3 linked regions of the Xenopus tropicalis genome follow. The protein of the gene in region 1 interacts with the protein of each later gene in a pairwise test. Links are inferred from orthologs where the notes say so. Each region holds a gene or a part of one and is shown on either strand. Other genes may lie near its edges.

What was found.
Region 2: the proteins of ube2i (region 1) and tfap2a interact in binary tests that used the Homo sapiens proteins (3 or more experiments, as listed by UniProt). The link is inferred for Xenopus tropicalis from reciprocal best matches to the Homo sapiens genes UBE2I and TFAP2A.
Region 3: the proteins of ube2i (region 1) and hipk2 interact in a two-hybrid assay, tested with the Homo sapiens proteins (5 studies listed by BioGRID and IntAct). The link is inferred for Xenopus tropicalis from reciprocal best matches to the Homo sapiens genes UBE2I and HIPK2.

What each region holds. Positions count from the first base shown.
Region 1 is NC_030685.2:28,773,948-28,777,701, reverse strand, and holds part of ube2i (SUMO-conjugating enzyme UBC9), read left to right. Parts: intron 1-1,463; coding exon 1,464-1,573; intron 1,574-1,664; coding exon 1,665-1,744; intron 1,745-2,931; coding exon 2,932-2,995; 3' UTR 2,996-3,754. UniProt on the Homo sapiens protein: Accepts the ubiquitin-like proteins SUMO1, SUMO2, SUMO3, SUMO4 and SUMO1P1/SUMO5 from the UBLE1A-UBLE1B E1 complex and catalyzes their covalent attachment to other proteins with the help of an E3 ligase such as RANBP2, CBX4 and ZNF451.
Region 2 is NC_030682.2:90,360,158-90,363,911, reverse strand, and holds the start of tfap2a (transcription factor AP-2-alpha), read left to right. Parts: upstream 1-1,191; 5' UTR 1,192-1,261; coding exon of another isoform or gene 1,262-1,267; coding exon 1,268-1,312; intron 1,313-2,123; exon of another isoform or gene 2,124-2,956; coding exon of another isoform or gene 2,957-3,112; intron 3,113-3,143; exon of another isoform or gene 3,144-3,754.
Region 3 is NC_030679.2:7,953,576-7,957,229, reverse strand, and holds part of hipk2 (homeodomain-interacting protein kinase 2), read left to right. Parts: intron 1-1,431; 5' UTR 1,432-1,433; coding exon 1,434-2,500; intron 2,501-3,654.

The sequences.
Region 1 (3,754 bases):
TACCAGTGCAGGGCAACAGTGCATTATATTTTTATTACTTTAAAGCTCTTTCATTTTTTGGTGTTACTGTTAAGTGCTATTTCCTTCTGTCACTGTGTGTGGATGTATATTCAGAGGTGCAGAAGATTTCTGAGCTAATTTTGAACTGAGTTGTTGAAACATACCATTGCCTTAAGGTCAGGGCCGCTCTTGCCATAAGGCAAAGTAAGAACCTTGCCTCAGGTGGCAGTGAGCGGGCAGTAATCTGGGATGGCAAAAAAAGCCCATTGGGACTCAATACTAGCCTACAGTGAAGTCAGAATTTTATGAGGCACTAACACAGGAGTGAAGGTTTGCCAAACAAAGGGAGCTGAGTCTGAGGTTTCAGAAGGAGCCAGCGCTACACATTAGAACTGCTTTCAGCTAACCTATTGTTTCTCCTACTCCCATGTAATTGGAGGAGTCCCAAGCTGGACTTGGATTTCTCACTATTTAGTGCTATTCTGATATATAGTGGGAGCTGCTATCTTGATGCTTCACATTGTTCTGCTAATTGGCTGCTGGGAGGGGGGTGATATCACTCCAACTTGCAGTAGTGGCTGCATTTCCCTCGGCTTATACTCGAGTCAATAAGTTTTTCCAGTATATATAGTATATATAGATGGAAGGATCTACTGGTAAATAAAGCATTCGAGAGATTATAGTGCCCTTATATATTCATACATAGTTCTCATATTCCCCCTTAAGGACTTCTATTTGCACCTTGGCCAGTCTTTCCACATAACGGAGTCTTTACATACCCTATATGTGCTTAATTGCCCTTCTCTGGAATTTCGCTATTTAATAGGGATGCAATATGGTGCTCAAATAGCTCCTTGTGCCAATATGTATAGGCTTGCTTCATAAAGAACATATCTAGTAAATGGCCTCTCTGCCTAACTTTGTGAAGGTGTGTGCTTTAGATGAAGCTCAGGACCCATGCTGACTATTGTGTGGCTAATCAGAGGGAAACAAACCTAACATCTGTGTGCAGTGCCAAGTGCCAGCTAGTGGCATATAGCTCCCAGATCTGCTGAAGTAAGAGATGGCGTTTCACCAGCTGGCAGTCTGATGGGGAAAGTCCAAATATGGCAGATACCAGGAGGAGACAACCAGCTTAAATCATATATGCCAACGGTAGGGCTGACTTTTGTTTCAGCACAATAATGCTGCTATGCACAAAGGGCCATACTGAATGAGTTTGTTTAGATGGGAGTGGGACTGGCCGGCACTGAGCAATATTAATCCCACCAGTAAGGGTTACAATAACCTGGAGAACCCACTACTCCACTATGCACCCACTCCAGAACAGTGTCAGTTGATTTTTGCCTGATCCTTCCCTAAGCAATTAGAGCCTTGCTTTCCAATGCCTTTGTGGTTAAAGAAGCCCTGTTATTCTGCAGTACAGTTGGCAGTGCTATGCTGATTTCTTGCATTTTCCACAGGTAAATTTGAGCCACCCCTTTTTCACCCGAATGTCTATCCTTCAGGCACAGTGTGTCTGTCTATCTTAGAAGAAGATAAGGATTGGAGGCCAGCAATCACAATTAAACAGGTATCATAAAGTGCAGATTCCTGTCCTTCTGTATAATACTGAACAGTTTGTGTTCTGCAATTAACTTTCTCTTTTTTTTTTCTATATAAAGATCTTGTTAGGAATACAAGAACTTCTAAATGAACCAAATATACAAGATCCAGCTCAAGCAGAGGCATACACAATTTACTGGTTAGTGTTTATGTATGGGGCATTTTTCTGGCTGGGATAGGGGCTGTGTATATGTCCCCTCTTCTGTAGTAATGTTACCCTTTACAGGCAAACAAATCACTGTACTTGATGCTAGCTTTAATACTGTCTATTTGACATTTAAAGGGCTGCTATAATTTTTTTGCATTCACATTGTATTTCACTACTCTAATATTGAGAACTGAGTTTTTTTTTCCAGTAGCTTTGTTCACCCAGGCTTATCAAGCTTGCCATTTTAGTCCTACCTAAGCTGACACCAGGTCTGGGCAAGGATTCAAAATAGGCCCTGGCATTTGAAGGACATGTCAACCCCAAAAATGTTTTGCCTAATAAAGGAAAACTTAATTCTAAGTAACTTTGAAATATACATTCATTACATATTTGTAATGGTTTTTGAGTTATTTGTATATATAGCTGCTATTAGAAGTAGTGTTGGTCAGTGCTTTTCTATTCCCTGGTGGCTCTGGTGTTTAAAACAATGTAACAAACGGCAGCAGATTTTACAGACCTGTCTTGCTGGAGGAGCCTGGCACTCGCAACATTGTTTAAAAAGTAACAACCGGGAGTTCAGCAAATGCTGCTTTCTGTAGCAATTACATTTACAAAAAAACCATTTAAAGCACTGATATTTTTTAATACATTGTTATTGGAAAGTTGCTTAGAATTATGTTTTTTCTTTTATTATGAAAAAAAAATATCTTTAGGGTTGACATTTCCTTTAAAGTACACAGAGGCCCAGGTATAGCCCCCCCCCCCCCCCCCCATAGGTCCAATGGAACTCAGAAGGGACTTATGATATCCTCATATTTTACAATGGGTATTTTATTTATTACCTCACATACTTGTGTGTGTGTGTGTGTGTGTGTGTGTGTGTGTGTGTGTGTGTATGTATAATATACTGTATATTCAGGGGGACATGAGGTTTGGGACATGACCTGTCAGGAAGCCAAAGATGGACTCCACCTCACAGAGGACATTTTCTGATACCCTGTATAGACAGGCTTCCATGGATGGCAACTCACAGAATGTGCAGGCAAAGTTGGGCAAGTCATTAAATTGACTGAACAAAGGGATTTAGTTTAAGGGTAGGGCATATGGGTGACCAGGTAGAGTATAGCCTGGGAAATTTGTCTTGATTCTTTTTTTTTTTTTTTATCTCCCTCCCACAGCCAAAACAGAGTTGAATATGAAAAAAGAGTCAGAGCACAAGCCAAGAAGTTCGCGCCATCATAAACTTCAACCTTGCAGCATCTTAAAATAAAAGGAAGGGATTGGTTTGGCAAGAACTTGTTTACAAAAAAACAATTTTTTTTGCAAAAATTGAATGATGCTAAATAGAATTGAAACTCTCACTTAGGGGAGGGGGTCGTATGTGTGCCATTTTCCATTTCCGCCACTTGTATAGAGTTCTAAATTTGCTGAATATCCCCCCCAGTTTTTTCATACAGGGTCTCTTCCTTCAGTCTTTTTGTATTTTGATTGTTATGATGTAAAACTTGCTTTTATTTTAATATTGATGTCAGTATTTCAACTGCTGTAAAATGATAAAACTTTTATACTTCTATAAATTCACTAGTAATCTCTAGTTTTCCTTTGCTATCTGATGCAGGCATGCTTTCAAATGTTTAGAACTATATCTAGCCTCTAGCTGGCTGTATTAAGAACAATGTCATAAATTCCACCCCCTCCCCTACCCCAAATTTCTTTTTACGTCTTTAAGAAACTAGGTTGCACCTCAACCTAGAGCCTCAGAGATTCAATGTCAGTCAGCATCTTGCTTCTGCATCACTTCCTTTGTTTATATGGCGTTTTGTCTGTGTTGCTGTTTAGATTAAATAAACTGTTTATATAAAGTTTTTGTTTCTTTATCTTTTTCATTAAGAGGACCACAAAGCAGAAGTGTTCAGGCTTGTAAACTGACATTGTGACATTTTTATTTTTTGTGTGAAATCTGTACATATATATATATATAAAAGAACTTTTTATAACTGT
Region 2 (3,754 bases), on another chromosome or scaffold:
CAAAAATGTTAATGGCGATTTAATGCGAGGGCTATTGATCTGGGGGCTTAGTGTTAAGGGGTCGCTCCCACCCTCTCTCCCCTCTAAACTTTAATGTTTGATCCTCGGGTGAATATTCACATTCAATTAGCTGGGCGGTCATGGTAATCGTGCCGATGGGGCCTGGGTCTGTCTGGCCTCCCTGCATGGCGCTGGCTGGAGATGGACCCTTTTCAAGTTGCCAGTCAATCTGCATAGGCTGGGGAATAAGGCTGAGCTCAATTTCAACCTGAATGAGAGAAAAAACAACTATTTATACAAGACTAAAGCGAGAACACAATGAAGGAACCTTAGTCTTGTTTTGTAGATACTTCTAAAATCATCATGACATTGGCTTTAGACCCCAGTAGTGGCTCCAGACACCTTCTTTAGTCAGATGGCTATTCTCATCTCATTTACCACCACCCAGGGTTTTATCATTATACCCACTGTGCCCCTATGAGCTAAGCTAGAGACTACATACTGACATACCGAGAGAAGAGACAAGAAGCACATTATCTGCTTTGATAATTACACCAGACAAATCTCGTCTCCCTAATAACCCATTGCAGCCCAGAATAGGCCACTCATTCTCCCAGTGTAATGTGATTTAGTACAATTAGCTCTGCTCCCACAACCTAGTGTCAGAATGAAACTCATCTCATTAGATTCAACATCATTTCCTCATCTCCCTTCAATTAAAAGGTTCTCTGAGTGCTACATCTAGAAATTAGTGGGGGATATATTTTTTATTATGCAGGTTATAACCCTGAAATAATTGCCAAGTGGCATAAATCATGTATACAGTGCCATTCTTTTTTTCTATGGTATCTGTGTGCAAAAACAGAAATAGAACTGATGAACAGCAACACATGGAAAGGAATAAAATGTAACGGCCTTGGCAAATATGAAATCTATTGATGATTTGTGCGAAAAACATGGATATTTTCTGTATGGAAAGGAATGTATATATTGTTATAGGGACTGATATTGGGGCTATGGGATCCCAAAGTGCTCCCCTTATGCTGACTGGGAGGCTGGGAGCAGTGGGGCAGTTGCCTGTATGCTAATGAGCACATCAGGACTTGGTACTGGGAAAAAAAGAAACTTTCCACCATTAGAGGGAGATCTGAGTGCACCAAAAGCATCGCTCCAGCCTCCCTCTCTGTAAGGCACACACAGGGACTGCTGCACACAGGACCAGGGACAAGGAAGAACTGGAAAGGTCTCTTCCCAGCCACCCATGAAAATGCTCTGGAAACTAACGGATAATATCAAATATGAGGAGTGTGAGGTAAGGGCCCTGCAGCACTTTTTCTAACAGTTATATGTCCCCCTCCGATCTCTACCTTGTGTGTGTACAGAGTTATTCTGTAAGGTCTGCCGGAGTTTAAAGTACCTGACTCTCTGAGCCCTTTTACTTGTCGGACAGGAACCTTGCACTGCCCTGTAAATATGGCTCAGATTCAGAAATACGTATTTATATACACACTCCCAAACTTGTCTCTCTAATATTACTTTTTATTCATTCAACAACATTGTATATGCTTTTGTTCCCTATGGATAATATGTTGACAAATGAACAAATTATTTAGTTATTGATATAGTTGTGATTTTTTTATACACTAGTTATTTATATCACTATATATATATATATATAGTGTATATAGTAAGTATATATGTATATCCCCCAATTTTCTAAACAGGTAGGGTCGGATTTGTAGCTTTCCAAGGAACGCAGAGTGCAGGGCAAATAGTGCAAAGTGTGTGAGTGACGGATGTGAGTTCAGCATTGGAGCTCACCTGAGAGAGACCCTGATACAGAGGACATGTTGGTGGGGGCTGCCACTGAGCATGGATCACTGTCTTGTTAGGACTTGCAGGCAGCGGCACTGAGTCGCACTCACACCAGACAAATTTGCTAGCATTACCCAAGCGGTTGGTTAAAACACTAAACACAAACACAAGTATATATATATATATATCTAGTGTGTGCTTCATTGTACCTTCATTTTATTTTTATCTGTATTTTTAGGAGACTAAATTAAGCGCAGTTATACATGAAGCTGCCACAATGCAGCAGGGGCACAGCACTGAGATTTCTGATGTTTTACCTGGACTGAAAGCTGAATATTTTGAAAGGCTCTGGTGTCTCAGGTAAAGGATCAGACAGGAGGGAGAGGGCAGAACAGGGTCCCTGTGCATTAGGCAAAGGCTCTTGTAATCTCCCTTTCAGCGCCTGCTTGAAGCCTTATTTTGTTAGCTGTGCATATTTGTACAGGGACATGCAGGCGGTAGGTGGCTCTTGTTGTTCTAACCCCAGCCAGCCAGGAGTTGTGTATAGTTGAACATGACATATTTTGGAGGAGTTGTTTGCTGGAGTGGTAGAGCCAGTCTGACGGGTTTCGAGTGGGAGACTAGGAGAGCCGGGGACGGGCGGAAGGGAGGCAGATTCGGAGCCGGGCAGAACCGAGCCGCGCTGGACTCAGCTCACCCCCTCACTATTGCGGACTGGGGCAGAACCGTTGCCGCTGCGCTGTGCGAACTATAGCATCTACTTCCCAGGCAAAGCGCCCTATCTGCACCCTGGATCTGCCAACGGGGACAGGAAATCAGAGCTAAACAAAAAGAAGAGAGTTGCCCTGCTCCCTTCCGGGCCCTGCATGCTCCCACAAGCACAGCAGCAAGGGTGGATTTCTCTTTTGTCTCACACTGAGCTACAGGGCTTTGCTGGGCTGAGGAAGGAGCCCTGTCTCACATGTTTAGCCCCAAGCAGCGCAGTGGTACAGGTTATTCGTGTACGAACTAAGGACACAGGTTAAGAGCTGCTGAGATCTGGGGCAGGAGGACATACAGAGAGCTGCCGGGCAGAATTTTGGAGGCTGCCATTTTAAGCTGGTTCTGTTCTGTGGCACTTGTGGTTGCAGCCCATAGGGCTATGGATCAGTCACAGAGGGCAGGAGATTCGGGCCCCTCAGATACAGACATGAAAAGCAAAGGGTTGAACTCCACAGAGAACATTCCCGTCCCCAGCAGCAAGAGAAGGACCTCAGACATGGACATGTCATTTCCAGGATATTCCCAGGATTCCCAGGTGCCAAATCCTTTTATCTGCCCCTCACCCCCCTTGCCTGTCACTGCTGATCCCCATACTCTGGAGCTGTTTCCCTTTTGCATGCCCTGCAACCTTTAAAATGTCCCCCCCTTCCTTGTGATTCGTCAGCCAGCCCCCCTCTCTCCCTCACTCTCTGAGTCTCTCCCTCCTCTTCCTCCCCCTCCACCTCTGATTAGATACACTGCCTCTTCATTCAATGGACGTCATTTAGAACAGGGCTCTGCCTTGAGTTGCCTCTTCGGTTCACGCTCGATTTCCAAGCATTCTTCCTTTATTAAGTATCGGTGTAATATTAATAGTCATGAATATGAGGGCTGCAAGGCTGGCAGCCTGCGCCTGTTAGTAGGAAAAGCCTGCGGAGCTGCATCCAGGAACAGTGTCTAGGGGACAAGGATTAAGGAAACCCAGAAATCCAAACTTTGCCTAAAACATCCCTCCCTGAATAGCAATTGTGCTCTCAACCCAAAATGAAGAAGAATTTCCTCCACATCTGATGGATTATATATGCTTATTATGCCTACAGAGCCTTGGTCCTTATGATTTTGTAGGGACCAGTTTCTAGAGCTGGGATTTTATTTTCATTTTTTTTCCACTTCTCTAAATTTTTTTTTTCACATTTCT
Region 3 (3,654 bases), on another chromosome or scaffold:
CCTTAAGGTGAAGACACATGGAGCTACTTAGTAGCAGCTACTTGCCATGGCTACTAAAGGCCAGAAAATCCCCTGCCATAGACAATATTGGGAATGGCCTCTGCTAGAGCTGGGCGGTATGACCAAAAATTTATATCACGGTATTTTTCAAAATTATATCGGTATCACGGTATTTGACGGTATATAAATAAAAAATAAATAATAAATATTGGTGGCCCCAAAAAAACCATATCGTTTTTTTTTTTAAAAAACCGGTATACCGGTTAAACCGGTATACCGCCCAGCACTAGCCTCTGCTAAAACCCATCAGTAAATGATCAACATTGTCTGTTTTAGTAGCTGCTACTGGTAGCTCTCTGTGTCTTCACCCTTAGGGTGAAGACACACAAGGCTACTAGTAGCAGCTACTTTTTTGCAGCTACTAAACTTCAGAAAATACCTTTCCATACTGAGAATTGCCTCTCCTAAAACACACGTAGAAACAGTTATCAGTAAATGATCAGCATTGTCATTGTCAGTAAATGATCAGCATTTTAATAGCCGCAACAAGTAGCTGCTACTAGTAGCTCCGTGTGTCTTCACCCTTAAGGTGAAGACACACTGGGCTACTAGTTGCAGCTACTTTTTTGCAACCAGGAACCACATTAATGGATCTAACCAGGAACCACATAGGAGCCATGTAAGTTCTTCTATGTAAGGATCTAGTTGGGCTTATGGATGGGTCTAACCAGGATCCACATAGGAGCCATGTAGGTGCTTCTATGTAAGGATCTAGTTGGTATTATGGATGGGTCTAACCAGGAACCACATAGGAGCCATGTAGGTGCTTCTATGAAAGGATCTAGTTGGGCTTATGGATGGGTCTAACCAGGAACCACATAGGAGCCATGTAGGTGCTTATATGTAAGGATCTAGTTGGGCTTATGGATGGGTCTAACCAGGAACCACATAGGAGCCATGTAGGTGCTTCTATGTAAGGATCTAGTTGGTATTATGGATGGGTCTAACCAGGAACCACATAGAAGCCATGTAGGTGCTTATATGTAAGGATCTAGTTGGGCTTATGGATGGGTCTAACCAGGAACCACATAGGAGCCATGTAGGTGCTTCTATGTAAGGATCTAGTTGGGCTTATGGATGGGTCTAACCAGGAACCACATAGGAGCCATGTAGGTGCTTCTATGTAAGGATCTAGTTGGGCTTATGGATGGGTCTAACCAGGAACCACATAGGATCCATGTAGGTGCTTCTATGTAAGGATCTAGTAGGGTTTATGGATGGGTCTAAACACAGAATTGTGACTTTATAAGAAGATAAAAACATAGATTTGGTTATTAAGTATTTACCCCCAGTTGTAATATTTATCCTTCCGTGTAAGTGCCTTTTGCCCCCAGTGTACGTCTAATTGTGGGTCTCTCTCTCTCTCTGCAGGTATGGCCTCTCATTTGCAGATATTTTCCTCTCACGGCCTCCCATTGAGGACCTTTTGTAAGGTGAAGAAGCCGAAGCTTGAACTGAGCCCGGGCTGGGATATGACTGGTTACGGTTGCCACAGCAAGGTCTATAACTCGGGCAAGAACAGCTCCACGTCTGGCCAGCCGGTGCTCAGCCACGCCTCCCTCCTCCAATCCTACGAGCAGACGGTCATCTTTCCCACCAGCGCGGGCCACATTGTGGTAACCTCGTCCAGTAACGGTTCCTCAGCGGCGACGGGGCAAGCACTAGGCGGCCCTCAAACTAACCTGATGCGGCGCAGCACGGTCAGCCTTCTGGATACCTACCAGAAGTGCGGGTTGAAGAGGAAGTGTGAAGAGCTGGAAAATAACAGCAGTGTACAGATCGTGGACGAGCATCCCCCCGTCACCCAGAACAATGCTAGCGGGGCCACTGCGGCTACCACCTCCACCGCCACCTCCAAGAATAGTGGCTCCAACAGCGAAGGGGATTACCAGCTGGTGCAACACGAAGTCCTCTGCTCTATGACTAACACATATGAGGTGCTGGAGTTCCTGGGCAGAGGAACCTTTGGTCAAGTGGTGAAATGCTGGAAGAGGGGAACCAACGAGATTGTGGCCATCAAGATCCTGAAGAACCACCCGTCCTACGCCAGGCAAGGCCAGATCGAAGTGAGCATCTTAGCCAGGCTCAGCACGGAAAGCGCCGACGACTACAACTTTGTGAGAGCCTACGAGTGTTTCCAGCACAAGAACCACACCTGCCTGGTCTTTGAGATGCTGGAGCAGAACCTCTATGACTTCCTGAAGCAGAACAAATTCAGCCCGTTGCCCCTCAAGTATATCCGGCCGGTGCTGCAGCAGGTGGGAACTGCTCTGATGAAACTGAAAAGTCTGGGGCTTATTCACGCCGACTTGAAGCCGGAGAACATCATGCTGGTGGATCCTTCCCGGCAGCCATACAGGGTCAAGGTTATAGATTTTGGTTCTGCGAGCCATGTGTCAAAAGCGGTCTGCTCCACCTACCTACAGTCCAGATATTATAGGTAAGTTGCCTAAAGAGATACCTGGTCTTAAGGTATAGTTTATCATGTACCATATATACTCGAGTATAAGCCGATCCGAGTATAAGCCGAGGTACCTAATTTTACCAAAGAAAACTGGAAAAACATATTGACTCGAGTATAAGCCTAGGGTGGGACATGCAGCCGCTACTGCTAAGTTTTAATAATCAAAATAAATACCAATAAAATGACATTAATTGAGGCATCAGTGGGGTATATGTTTTTCAATATTTATTTCAAAGAAAAACAGTAAACTAGCTCTGTAAGTGGAGAAGAGGGTCAACAAAAACAATATGGTATCAACAATGATAACTTAAGAGTACTACCCCCTTAGCTCAATCAGCAACCAAGCTAAAACACAAAGAGTTAAAATCCTTCAAAACTATATATAGTTTATATAGAATATAAAGTGCAAAATGGGAAAGGTGAGGATGGTAGATGAAGATGAATTTTCATCTGGAGGGACCCACGGCACCCGACTCGAGTATAAACCGAGGGTGACTTTTTTTCAGCACATTTTGGGTGCTGAAAAACTAGGCTTATACTCGAGTATATATTGAATTTTTACCCATAAAGCCATATATTGTGGACTCTGTAGGGTCAGGAAGTCTTTAACTCACGCAGAGGGTGGGAATGGAACACTTTGATGGGATGGGGGGGGGGGGCAATGATTTATGTAGGTGGATCAGGTGAGGAATGGGTGAATAAAGGCCAAGTGTAGGGCATTGTGGGTTGGCTGAGGGAGGGGGTAGGTACAGAAATGGCCTGGCCAGTGGGGAACAGTTAAACTATATGTCCAAAATGGACACCAGGCCTAGAACCCACTGTGATATTTCCCGGTATCAGAGTGGGCCAGTGAGACCCTTCTTCCACCCACTGCAAGTTGTAGAGTTGCCTTATACAAATTAAGCATTGTTTCACCTCTGGCCAGGCCATTTCTGTACCTACCCCCTCCCTCAGCCAACCCACAATGCCCTACACTTGGCCTTTATTTACCCATTCCTCACCTGATCCACCTACATAAATTATTGCCCCCCCCCGGGTTCCCGGATACCTTTCCATTGGCGCAGGAAGGCCCCGGCCACTCCCAATACCTGTTGTGCTTTGGGCAGGGGAGCCCTTGAAATCGGGTAATT